3 linked regions of the Cricetulus griseus genome follow. The protein of the gene in region 1 purifies or fractionates together with the protein of each later gene. This does not show direct contact. Links are inferred from orthologs where the notes say so. Each region holds a gene or a part of one and is shown in the gene's direction. Other genes may lie near its edges.

Region 1 (4,056 bases):
TGATCTGCTGTTATGACAGGAAAAAAAAAAAGTCTCTTGCCAGTCATATCCTCTGTAATCTGGCAGGAAACCTAAAATGTCCTGCCGCAGTCCTATGCTGTAGGCTTATCTGCTTCCTTGGGAAGAACGCGCATCACAGTGTCCGGTTTAGGGGGATTTTCACCATGACCTCACCCTCTCCACCATTCACTGACCTCAGCAGGCATTACCCAAGTCACAAATGAAGCTCGGGTGGGATCCACATTAGCGAGCCAGCCACCAGAGACCTTGCTAGCACATCTCACATGAACAGCATCAACTCTAACTCTTCTCAAACCAGGGCAGGTATCAATAATGCCCTGAACTGCTCCAGAGGGGTGTTGATCAATAAGACATTTGACATCTAGATATCCTTCTAGACTCAGGATGGTAGAATGGCAAGGGAGTCGCTGCTAATTAAATGCGTGGGCTTGGATTAAAGCGCTTGCCTGTAATCCCAGCAGTGGAGAGGTAGGCTGAGGCAGGAGGATTGCCACAAATTTAAGCCAGCTTTTGCTGTACGATGAAATCCTATCTCAAGAGTTAAAATAAGGGGGGGGTGGTGGAGTGGGGGGACAAAATGTGATGAAGGAAGGAGGAGGCACCCAGGAACCTTCCAGGCTTGCGGTGGTCTGTGCGGTAATGTCCCAGCCAATGATCTCAAAATAGGAGGTGACAGCAGGCGGCGGGCGAGTCACTAGGGGAAAGGGCAGTGAGAACTGCAGAGAGAAGGAGTCCCTAAGAGAGTGGCATCGGGATGGGCTCACTCGCCTCGGGGCTCCGGGAAGCGACGGCACTAAAGGGAAACAGAAAGTCCGGCCCGGCAGGCGCGCGCCCAGCCCGGCCCGCGTGACTCGCGGGGGGCTCCGCCTCTCACCGCGCGCGCTCCCGGCCGCAGCCTCCTCGGCCAGCGAGCGGTGGGGGGGCGGAGCGGGACTCGCGCCGGCCTCCCCAGCGCGGCGTGCCTGCGTGCGCGTGCCCGTCGGGCGACGGGGGCGTGCACGCCCGGAGGGCCACCGCCCCTCCCTGGGCCCGCCCTCCCTCCCACCCCTCCCACCCTCCCCCGGCCGGCGCGGCCCGCCCTGGCGAGTCAGTCCTCGGGTTCCCTCCCTCCCCGGGCGCGCTCGGGCCGCCGCTGCGCTCCCCGCCCTCCAGCCGCCTTGCCGGAGCCAGCCGCTGCCGGAGGAGGAGGTGGAGGAGCCGCAGGGGCCCGCCGAGGCGGCGGCGGCGGCGGCAAGATGGCGGACTTCCTGCCGTCGCGCTCCGTGCTGTCCGTGTGCTTCCCGGGCTGCGTGTTGACGAACGGCGAGGCCGAGCAGCAGCGCAAGTCCAAGGAGATCGACAAATGCCTGTCGCGGGAGAAGACCTACGTGAAGCGGCTGGTGAAGATCCTGCTGCTGGGTGCGGGCGAGAGCGGCAAGTCCACCTTCCTGAAGCAGATGCGGATCATCCACGGCCAGGACTTCGACCAGCGCGCGCGCGAGGAGTTCCGCCCCACCATCTACAGCAACGTGATCAAAGGTGCGGGGGCGCGGCGGGGCTCGGGGACCCGGGGACCCCTGGGGAGCCGGGCCGGGCACCGCCCTCACCCGCCGGTCCCAAGTCTGAGGACACTGGATCGGACCAGATCGGACGGGCGAGCCCGCGAGCGAGCGAGCGAGCGGGTGGGCGCGCCTCGGGCGCCGTCCCGTGCGCCGCTGTGCCCTGGCCCCTCAGATCCGGGGCGCCCCGCTGTCCCCCCGTGCTACCCCAGTGAGGGTCACGGTCGGCCCCGCACCCCTCGGCTGGCCTCGCCCCCTCCGAGAGGGAAGTGTGGCGAGCAGGGTGACTCCGGGCAGCAGGGCGACTGGTGTCCTCCCAGCACACCAGACAAGCCCACCCCATCAGCAGCCCCAGGTCCCACACTCTCAACCCCTCCCTCTTCTCCCCGCCACGGGTGGGTGGGTGGGTGACCCTAGAAACCGGCGCAGATACCCTTCCAGCTCTGGGCTTCCTAGGCCACCTCTTGAGTTAAGCAAGTTCTGGAACCGCCGCAATGAGGAAACTTTTTTTTTTTTTTTTTTTTTTTTTGCCCTGAGACTCTTGTCAAGGGCATAGAGTGACAGCCTCTGGGGCCTTTTGGGGCAAGAGGTATGAAACTCAAGGGTGTCGAGTTTACTGAACTAGCATCAGGAGAGCCTATTAAAAAAAAAAAAAAAAAAAAAAAAAAAAAAAAAAAAAAACCTAGCACAAGTGGTTTTATCGCCCCAGTGCTACAGGATGTTTGTACTCAACAGTTCAACATGTTGCTTTCTTTCTCTTTTGCTTAATAACTCGGAGCAGGAGGGGGAATAAAACGGGCAACATTTCTAATACTTAAATGAATGTATGTTTAACTACGAAGACTCTTTGGCTTAAAAGTCATAAGAGACCTACAGAAGTTAGTGAATATGTGTGGTGTTGGATCATGGGCGTTACAAATTCTGTTTGACAATATTTTAAAATTAAAATATTGTTCCTCAGTGAAAAACACACGACATCTTTATTTCCTAGCATTCAAGGAAGTTTTGGAGGTGGCTCTTGTCATTTGAAATATCACCTTTCTTAAAAATTTTTCTTTAGTGTTATGTATCTTCTACATAAAAGACATTGTCAAAACTGAGGCACAGAGCCCTATGTTTTGAGTGATTAAGGAGTCACCCTGTTTTATCTGGGACTTCGAAGCAAACTACGATCGTAGATCTTTTCAGTTGTTATGTGGCTTTATTTTTTTTTAAGTGGGTTTTTTGTTGTTGTTCAGGAAGTACATGAAGCAAACCCCTTCATGTCTCTCCTCCCGCCTCTTCAGGATTTCAAATGGGGAAAAACTAGAGAGGGAGGCATTGTAGGGCAATGAGGGGAGAAGGCTAGGCCAAGAGCTCACAGTCCACGGCTCTTTCTTAGCCTGTACCTCTGCAGTTAAACTGTAAAGAGTGCTTGTATTTAGTCTGCCCTAATGTTTAGCACAAAACTAATTAAGGTCTCTTCTAAGGCTGTAGTGTACCTTGCTAGCCCATAATTGAAGGTACCTTTGTATCCTGATGCAGTTGAACTTAAAGAATTATGTTAATGAATAGACTAAAGTATTCACTGTAAGGTAAACACCTGCTTTTTTGATATATACTGGGCCTAAGAATTACTTTGAGCATTATTGTGTGATCAAGCCTAAGTCTAACTAGGCATCTTATTTTCTTGGGGTGATCAGAAAGTTGAAAGCAAAACAGTTTTTTCATGTATCCCAAGAAAGGACTTCCTAATAGATTGAGACAGAAGTAACAGTTTGGTGCTAAGAGTATTGAGTTTGAATTGACCTAAGTAAGTGGAGACCTCTGTTTGTGTATCATTTTGCAGTTGGTTTGGCTTTTAGGTAACTGTAAAGCCAGCAGGTGACTGTACTGATTTGAAACTGAGTCTGAGAGTGTCCTGGAAGAAAGTATTGGTAGGAGCTGAAGGACTCTGACTGAACACAGTGACTCAGGGCTGGGCAGCATTATTTATTTTTTCCATTTCTGGTTTTGACCTCCTTCCACTTCAGACATGATTTTATGGATGACAGCATATTAAAATCCTTCCAAGAGAGATTTTTGTTATCGATATTTACTTTCCAAGGCTTCTACTTTTAAGACAATGAACAATTGTTTTTTAAACCTCTGAGAAGATAAAGGTTCTGTTTTGATTCTGGTCTCCATTTAGGGAGTGGGGGTTCTGTAATAGCTAAAAAAAATTAAGGAACCAATACTGAATAACACTGGGGTGAAAGGTTGTGATGGTATCTTAATGACTCTTCCTCACATTTTTTTTTTTTTCCTTTTTAAACAAAGGTATGAGGGTGCTGGTAGATGCCCGAGAGAAGCTTCATATTCCCTGGGGAGATAACAAAAACCAGCTCCATGGTGACAAGTTGATGGCATTTGATACCCGTGCCCCCATGGCTGCCCAGGGGATGGTGGAGACTCGAGTTTTTTTGCAGTATCTTCCTGCTATAAAAGCCTTGTGGGATGACAGTGGTATACAGAATGC
Region 2 (4,132 bases), on another chromosome or scaffold:
CTAGGGGAGCTGATTACAGCAGCCTCGTTAGTGTCACCCCCTCCTCCCAGATCTGTCATGGCCACTTAAGTGCTAATAAATCCTTCCCAAAGCAGCCCTTGGCAGGAGTCATGGATCTCATGAGGACCGCCCCTCAACACTGCCAGGGAACCAGGAGCCGGAAGCCCGTCCTCGTCCCCTTCCTCCCTCAGACCTAGGGTTCTGGACCCAAGTTCTCACCTGCCCACTTCTGAGATCTGGGACTAGACAGTCACTCCGGGCTCCCCCCACCCAACCAAGAAACAGGAAGTCTCTTGGGGAAGTCCCCACCCCCAATTGAAGGGCTGGTTTAGGTCTTTTATAGGGCCTCACCCTCTCCACGGCCCTAAGCAAGGGGGAACCAGCAGGGTTGTCAGCAAACTATTAGGCATATTTAAGCTCTGAAAACACGAGGTATTATTTCCTCGGGGTGGGACTTAATTTCTCTCATGGGTTCACTTGCATAGGCAGATTTGGGGAGTTCATGTCAAGAACCCGAAGATGGTGGAGAGTGGCACTGCGGTGTGACCCAGGGGCACTCAGTCGGGAAGAGCAGACACAAGAAGGCGGTTAAAGACAGGAGTGAGGCAAAGGGGGGGACCCGGGGAGTCCCCAGAGACAGGGATAGAGAGAGAGAGAAGGGCACTTCTGAGATCTGGGACTAGACAGTCATTCCGGGCTCCCCCCACCCCGCCAAGAAGCAGACAGGAATTGGCTGGCCAGTGAGCCCGAGCCTGAGGGGCAACAACAGTTGAGGTCGCAGAGGATGAGAGCGACCCAGCGGCAAGAAAAGAGTGATAAAAGGCGCAGGGGACCGGCTGCTGCGGTTTGAAGCAGCAGAAGCCAGGGAGGAAGACAGCTTTGGGGGAAAGGGATGGATGGAGAGCCTGGGGCTCGCAGACGGTGAAGCTCGCCCGCCCGGGCGCGCGGAGGCGCGGAGCTTAGACAGGGAGGCGCACACCTTTCACTTTAACCTCTGCGATGCGGAGGCAGAGGCAGGCGGGTCTCTGGGAGTTCGAGGCCGGCCAGGGCCACCTAGTGAGCCCTTACCTTAACTAAGAAAAGAAAAGAGGAAGGGCCAGGGCAGGAGCTGGGCAGCAGCGGGGCAGGAGGCCATAAAGCAGGACAAAGGCGAAGGGGAGCCGGGCGGGGCGGGGTGGGGCCGCACCCGCGGGGAAAGGAGGAGGAGGCGCGCGGGCGAGCGGGCGAGCCGGCGAGCCGGCGAGCGAGCGAGCGAGCGAGCGAGAAGGGGAAGGAAGCCGAGGTGCCGGGCGGGCACGGGGCGCCGGCAGGAAGCGGGGAGGGGCGGCGGGCGGGGGCTCCGGAAAAACGCCCCGACTTCCTGCCCGCTGGAGCCAGGAAGCCGGAGCCGGGACGCCGGGCCCGGGATCGCCGAGCCCGACCTCGGGCGCCCCGCCGGTCACCTCCCCGCGCGCGCGGACACCAGGTACATGGTCCCTGGCCCCGCCCGCCCTCCTCCTCCCCCTCGGCCGCAGGGGGAAGTGGGGAGGAGCAGGGAGGGGACCCGGCGGCCGCCGAGGGCCTCCGGGCCGGGGGTGGGGTGGGCAGTGAGCCTGCAGCCTCCCTTCCTGGGACCTGAGTTTTCTCATCTGTCAAAGACAGCCCAGAGGAAACCCCCGCGAGGTGGCTGGCGCGCACGCCTGTCAACCCAGAACCTGGGAAGCAGAGGCAGGAGGATTGCCATGAGTTCGAGGCCAGCCTGGTCAACCTAGCGTGACCCTGCCTCAAAAGGAAACAAAAACAAAAACGAGAATGAGAGACGAGGAGGTGGGGGGACAGAGAGAAAGAGGGAGAGACAGAGAGAGAGACAGACAGACAGACAGACAGACACAGACAAGAGAGACAGACACAGAGACAGAGATAGAGAGATAAAGAGGGAGAGACAGATACACAGACAGAGACAGAGAGAGAGAAAGGGAGACACAGAGAGACAGAGAGAGAGACACAGACAAGAGAGACAGACACAGAGAGAGACAGAGACAGAGAGACAAAGAGGGAGAGACAGAGATACACAGACAGACAGACAGAGACAGAGAGAGAGAAAGAGGGATACACAGAGAGACAAAGAGAGGGAGAGACAGAGAGAAAGAGAGACAGACACAGAGAGAGACAGAGACAGAGAAAGAGGGAGAGACAGAGAGACAAAGAGAGGGAGAGACAGAGACAGAGAGACAGAGATAGAGAGACAAAGAGGGAGAGACAGAGATACACAGACAGACAGAGAGAAAGAGGGAGACACAGAGAGACAGACAAAGAGAGGGAGACACAGACAGAGAGAGACAAAGAGGGAGAGACAAAGAGACAGACAGAAAGAGACACAGACAGAGACAGAAAGACAGACAGAGGGAGAGACAAAGAGAAACGAGAAACAGAGAGAGACAGAGACAAAGAGAGAGACAGACACACACAGAGAGACAGACAGAGAGTGCACAGTAGGTAGAGATAAGCTAGGTTGGGATCCAAACTGCCCACCGTTCAGCGCAGCTCAGAACGATGACCCCCATTTACCCCTGGGGAAACTGAGGCCCAGGGGGAGGGACCCCCTCGTCGTAGGGCCCATGGATACTAGGTTAGAGGTCCTAAAATAAACAGTATGGAGCCGAGAGTTGCGGAGCGTTGAAAACGTCCTAGGAAGCTTTTTCTAGTTCCCCCCTCCCTGGGTTATTAATTATACTCTGGGAGATATCTGGGTGTAGGGGAGAGACCGGGGACAGACAGGGAGACTGAGGCCTAGAGAGAGAAGTCATTGCTTTTCGCTGGTTCGTCTGTCAGGGGGAGAGAGAACACTTCAAGCGCACGGGTGGGTTTGGATTTGTTTTGTTTTGTTCTTTCCGATTGCAGCGGGGCGGGGACGGGGGGGAGCTGAAGGGGCGACAGACGGCGTCGGTTAACAGGTTGGGGAGTTGGGGAAGGTGGACGAGGTGGGAAGACCCCATGAGTGGGCACTTCAGACCCGAGCGACTTGGAGATCTGAGACTGAGCGCGAGCGGGGCGGGCGGGCGCTGGAAGCAGCCACCACTCCCGCAAGGGGCGGGCGGGACCCGGGAGACTGACAGGAGCAGTCGAGATACGGAAACGCCGGCCCTCCAGCGCGGGCCAGAGCGGCCCCGTCGGGCCAGCGTGGCGCCGTGGAGCGAGAGCGAGCGGCCGGCGGGAGGAGTAGAGTTGCCGAGGCCGGAGAGTGGCAGGAGGCGGGCTAGAGCAGCCAGAGGGAGGAGTGGAGCTGGCCGCCAAGGCGGCCTCTGGCTCGGCTAGAGCGACTCTGCGGCGCGGGTGGGGGAACCCCGAGCTCGGGCGCGGAGGCTTCGGTCCCGGAGGCTGCAGCGGCTTCTCATCCATCCCATCCGACAGGTGAGATCCGCAGCCTTCCCTCCTGCACGTCTTCCCTGACACCCGTGCTGCCACAGTCGCTGTGGTACTGAGCGCCCGTGTAGATCGGTTCCTCGTAAGATTTAGGGCTCCTCAAGACCCGCCACGTTACATCGCTTGTAAGACCTTACATACCTTCCAGGTTTCAGGAAGCCTTTCACGCAAACCCGGTTTTTGTTTTTTTTTTTTTTTTTTTAATAAACATGGGCTTCTCCCAGGTCAAACCAGGGCCCCACAGAACCCACCCAGCACACACCCCCGTGGAGGTCCCACAAGCCCGTCAGTTTGCTTTCTCTTTCCAGTCATCTTCACCTAGCTGGGTTCTTGAGGCCCACTGTTATCAAATAGAATCTGGCAGGGTCATACACATTCCAAGAGCCTCTCTTAGGTTTCTCAAGGCTTCTAGAGGTTCTTGAATACCCGAATACTCCATTCTGAAAGCTTGGGTACCCTGGCCCTTGCAACCCAGGCAGCCACCCTCCAGGACCTCCTCCTCCTCCTCCACTGCATAAACCTAAACCTGCCTGACAACCCCCCCTCCTCCCTGCCACAGCCTCAAGTGCAAAGTGCTCCCTCTGCCGGACAAAGAAGTAGACTTTGACCGTTGCCTGTAAGAGTGTCTTTTGCCAGCTTCACCTATATCCTAATTGTCCAACGCTCCGGGTCCAAGCACAGACTTCTGGAGCTGCTGGGTCCATCCCGGGTGACCGCTGAGGTCGCAGCA
Region 3 (4,284 bases), on another chromosome or scaffold:
CTTACATTTTAAAGAGTTTTCCTCCAAGATGGAAGGTTTTAACTTGAGAGGAAACTGCTACATAACCCCTAGAACTCACATAAAAAGGCTGAGTTTTGGAGGTGTGAACTTGTAATCACAATGCTAAGAAGGGTGAAAGTGTAGAGCTTATTCACCAGCATTCTTGGCCTACTCAGCAAGTCAAGGCTGTTGAGAGACTCTTGTCTTCAAAAGGGGGTGAGGTTGTTTGGCACTTGAGAAAGAATGCTACCCATTGCTGTCCTCTGGTCTCCACAAGCACACCTGTGCAAGAGCACATCAGCTGTTACGATCTAGAAGGTAAGCGCTCAGAAAGTTCAAGAAGTTTCTGTAACAAACAAGAGTCACAATGGCCCTCCCCAAGGTTATAGGAAGCAATAACAACTCCAACTGGCCCAGTGGTGATCGGTAGTCCACTGTCCTCACCCGTGCTGGAGTGCGTTTTTTTCGTGTGCAGCTGTCTTTAAGCTGCTCATTTTCCTAGAAGTAACGCCAATAAATCCACAGGCTCACTAGGATAGGCTTTGGCGAAATTGTTGGTGCCCTATCTGATGTGAACAGATGCCTATTTGTATATCCTCAGGAAGTCACATAACATACACGCATGCACCTGCACACACACACACACAAAACTATAGCAAAGTTCATTCATCAACCTGTGCAAGAAAAAAAAAAAAAAAACATAGGGGAATCTGATTTTAGTAGGTCCTAAATAGATGCTTAATCAGTTTCTTTTCTCCGTTGCTAACACAGGAGGCAAGCTTGGAACTTGAACGGGCTCAGGTAGGCCAAGACCAAGGCAGGCAGAAGGGAAAGTAGTACATGGAAATACACCAGCGCCTGCACAGCTTCCCCAGGCAAGAAGACAATTCCTCCTCAGTCTAAATGCTTCTTTTTACTTCAGTCTTGGGACCTTCTGACTAGCGACGGTTACTTGAAGAGACTGAGAAACCGTGATTTCACGCAGGGGGTGTGCGTCATGAAAATAACATTGTCCTGGAAAGGCTTTTTCACTGAATGAAAAAGCAACGCCATACAAGATACCCAAGCTACTCTGAGAGAAACCGAGAGGGCAGAGTCGGTGGGCATTCGGAGCGGGGAGGGCACAGTTTGGGGGCGCCTTGTAACGTGGAAGGAGACTCGACAAATGAGTGAAAACGAGCCGAGAAGGACGGGGCAGCAGCGAGAGAGCCCACAGAGGCGCGGCCGGCGGACACTGCAGAAACAAAGGTCGAACCTCCGGGACAGCAACACCGGGAGCAGCTAGGCCGCAGCGCACGGGCCGGGGGCGCGCGGGGCCGCCAGAGGTTGGGCGGCGCCAAGGAGGAGCCATCGGCTAGCCTGGGCGAGCAGAGTCCGCTGACGGGGGCGGGGTTGGGCGGGGCGGGGCGGGCGGAGCGGCGGCGGCGGCGGCGGGCCTGGCCTGAGCGAGCGAGCGAGCGCGCGCGGGGGCGGGGCCGGAAGCGCAGCGGCCGCGACGCGGACGCCGGGAGCGGCCGAGCGGGGAGGCTGTGGCTGGCTGGCTGGCTGGCGGCGGACCGGCACGGAGGCCGAGGCCGCGGCCCGGGCTCTCCGCGCCGCTGTGGAGGGCGCCCTGGCCCTAGCCGGGCCGCAACAATAGTGGGAGCGGGTCGCCGGGCGCGATCGGTCGGCGAGGGGAAGCGGGACCGTCGCTCCAGGGCGCTGCGGCGAGAGGGACTTTCGGAGCCTGGACGTGCAGGAGCACACAGCGCTGACTGAGGAAATTGTCTCTGAAAAAGGCCGACCCGAGGCTGGGTCTGAGCACTGGACTGGGCTAGGTGGAGGAACCTGCAGGTCGAAACGGAAAAGAGCGTTTAATATTTCCTGGGGTTTTGGCCAATGCTACCGTTTTGAAGGTAAAAAGCATTGCGCTTCAGGTGTTTTGTGATTTTTTTTTTCTTTTTGTGTGTGTATGTCTGCACAATTGGCTCATTTCAGAATTCCAAGCCTTTAATGTAAAAGATCGGCGTTTTGTTTTGATTTTTGAGAAATTCACAAATTTTGCTTCCCAGGGCCCCACTGGACTCCGTGCTGTGTACACACTGCTGTATGGTTTTATTTATTTTAACTGTGCAAATCATCTGGAAGGTTTTTTTTTTTTCCCCGAGTGCCATTTCGGATTTGTTCAGCCTTTTTTGTTTTGTTTTGTTTTCCTTCCCTGGCATTTTAAGCATTTGGAAAACAGAGATTTTTCAACCTTTGGAGCTTAAGGTTCCCTTGTCAACAGAAGGACAGCTGGGAAAACTGGATTGAGAGGATGATTTTTATCTGTCTGCAGTTAAGACTGATATTTTGAAGTCGCATTCTTTCTGTGGTTTTTTAGCCCATAGTACTAACCTTAAAGACACTTGTGGTTGACGTTTTGATTTCTAAGAAGGTTTCTTTTTCTTTATTTTTTTTTTCCATTTTCTTTTTTAAGACAAGGGAAGGGGAGGCTAAAGAGTCAAGAGAGGAGGAGACATGTTAAGTGGCGGGCGTACACTGGTTCTGCAGTTACCAGGGTCCTGACAACTGGAAGAAAAAGGATTCAGTCTTCAACTTGGGAGGCCCTCCTCTCACCTTCCTTAAAAACCTTAAGGGATTCCGGCCTGATCAAGACATCCAAAGAAGCTACAAGATTCCGGAACTGTGAAGACACCGAGAAACCATGAGCATAAGATTACCCCATAGTATAGACAGGTAAGTTTGCACATACTTTGGGATTTTCCCAACACTTATTAAAAAGGCTGGGAGTTGATGTTGTGTTTTGACTGAACTGAGCTGTGGGCTAGGTAAGGTAGTCTGTGGGTACTGTCAGTATATGTTTATAGTCCCTCTGTGTGTGTGTCCATGTCCAAAACATATCTCCAAATTCTGTGTCGTTTATAGCCAATAAGCAGTGATATGGAGAGGAGGGGAAGATGCTTTCAGTGCTTTTGCCTTACACCAGGTGTAAGGCTGGCTCTGGGTCCTCAACTTGCCAGCCTAGGGATTCCAAGCCTGGACCAAGCCTGGTCATGGGAACCCACAGGGGTGAATGGGGACTAGCTTAAGATTTTTGCGGAGGGTAGGGGGGTGACTGGCAGGGTTGTGGGCCTCCATCAGGCTGACTGTTATGGAATGGCGGGATGAAGTGGTAGGGTGGTTCCCATTTAAAACGAGGAAGATGCTTTTGGCTTGAAATGTTGGGACAGAAATACCCTGTGTCCGTACCAGAACTTTCACCAGTGGTTGATAGAGCTCCAAATGGGGAGGCCACATTCAATTTCTTCCTCTTCAGGTTTAGCATTTACAGTGAGAACTACCAACAGGCTGATGCTTGAGGTTTAATTTGCCAAGCTGTTCTTAATAAGCTTGACTCTGCAAAACAGGCCTTCCCTCTGCTTGAAGCCGGAAGGAGTTGTTTGGCTCTTAGGCCCTTGAAATCAGCTGGAGGCACATGATGCCCCTTCCCCCATGAGCTTGAGCTGCCTTCCCTGTTATTGGCAACATTGCAGCTGGATTGTTCTGTCCTCCAAAGGGTTGGCACAACTTTGGTAGGTATCTGTCTTGTCGTTTCTTCCCCTTCTCCTCTTCAACTCTTCTGCCTTAAAAATCCTCTAAGGGGGCGTGTTTTGTGGATATTCCATACATCCTAACTGGATAGGTAGGTAAGTGGTTGGATGATAACAGTCAAATGAAAAAAATAGTATTTATGAGGAAGGGAGGAAAATCAGTAAGTCAGCAGTTGTTCTTTCTGGGTCAGTTATCCCTTGGTTAAACATGCTAATAGTAATTTCATTTTGATTGTGGAATGTGGCATATAATAATCTCCTCAATACTACCACTGTATTGCCTCACAGTCCCGGTTAAATCTGTTTAGTAGTACTTGTGAGGGAAAGTGTCTTGCAGTGGGGAAGGGGAGGCAACCACAAAGGCAATGTGGCTACTTGGCATCTCCCTTCCCTTTCCGTTGTGGTCTTCTGTAATTTGCCCCTGGGAAAGGATAACTGAAGCTGTCGGGGCAAGGAGGTAAAGGGTGCTTGCCTGTCTGCCCTTAGTGTCCTTTTGGAGTAGGGGGATTAAGATTTGGGTGTCACAAATTTCTATTAAATTGGGGATGTGAGCATATGGAAACCGGGTATTGAGGGATGAGAAGGCAGTGAGGGCTTTTGGGTTAACATGATATGATCCTGTAGGAGCTTGCATGACTTCACAGATTCAGATCCCAGGGTCCTAAGTGCTTTCTTTAGAACTCTTCTTATTTGAACCTAATAATGTTTCTGT

Evidence for each region.
Region 2: the proteins of Gna13 (region 1) and Arhgef1 purify together in Homo sapiens (affinity purification with western blotting; 5 studies listed by BioGRID and IntAct, with this or other methods). This does not show direct contact. The link is inferred for Cricetulus griseus from reciprocal best matches to the Homo sapiens genes GNA13 and ARHGEF1.
Region 3: the proteins of Gna13 (region 1) and Arhgef11 purify together in Homo sapiens (affinity purification with western blotting; 3 studies listed by BioGRID). This does not show direct contact. The link is inferred for Cricetulus griseus from reciprocal best matches to the Homo sapiens genes GNA13 and ARHGEF11.

What each region holds. Positions count from the first base shown.
Region 1 is NC_048600.1:122,211,482-122,215,537, forward strand, and holds the start of Gna13 (guanine nucleotide-binding protein subunit alpha-13), read left to right. Parts: upstream 1-1,256; coding exon 1,257-1,539; intron 1,540-3,857; coding exon 3,858-4,056. UniProt on the Homo sapiens protein: Guanine nucleotide-binding proteins (G proteins) are involved as modulators or transducers in various transmembrane signaling systems.
Region 2 is NC_048602.1:9,645,615-9,649,746, forward strand, and holds the start of Arhgef1 (rho guanine nucleotide exchange factor 1), read left to right. Parts: upstream 1-1,332; 5' UTR 1,333-1,465; intron 1,466-3,250; exon of another isoform or gene 3,251-3,390; intron 3,391-4,132. UniProt on the Homo sapiens protein: Seems to play a role in the regulation of RhoA GTPase by guanine nucleotide-binding alpha-12 (GNA12) and alpha-13 (GNA13) subunits. Acts as a GTPase-activating protein (GAP) for GNA12 and GNA13, and as guanine nucleotide exchange factor (GEF) for RhoA GTPase.
Region 3 is NW_023276806.1:66,851,996-66,856,279, reverse strand, and holds the start of Arhgef11 (rho guanine nucleotide exchange factor 11), read left to right. Parts: upstream 1-1,484; 5' UTR 1,485-2,686; coding exon 2,687-2,718; intron 2,719-4,284. UniProt on the Homo sapiens protein: May play a role in the regulation of RhoA GTPase by guanine nucleotide-binding alpha-12 (GNA12) and alpha-13 (GNA13). Acts as guanine nucleotide exchange factor (GEF) for RhoA GTPase and may act as GTPase-activating protein (GAP) for GNA12 and GNA13.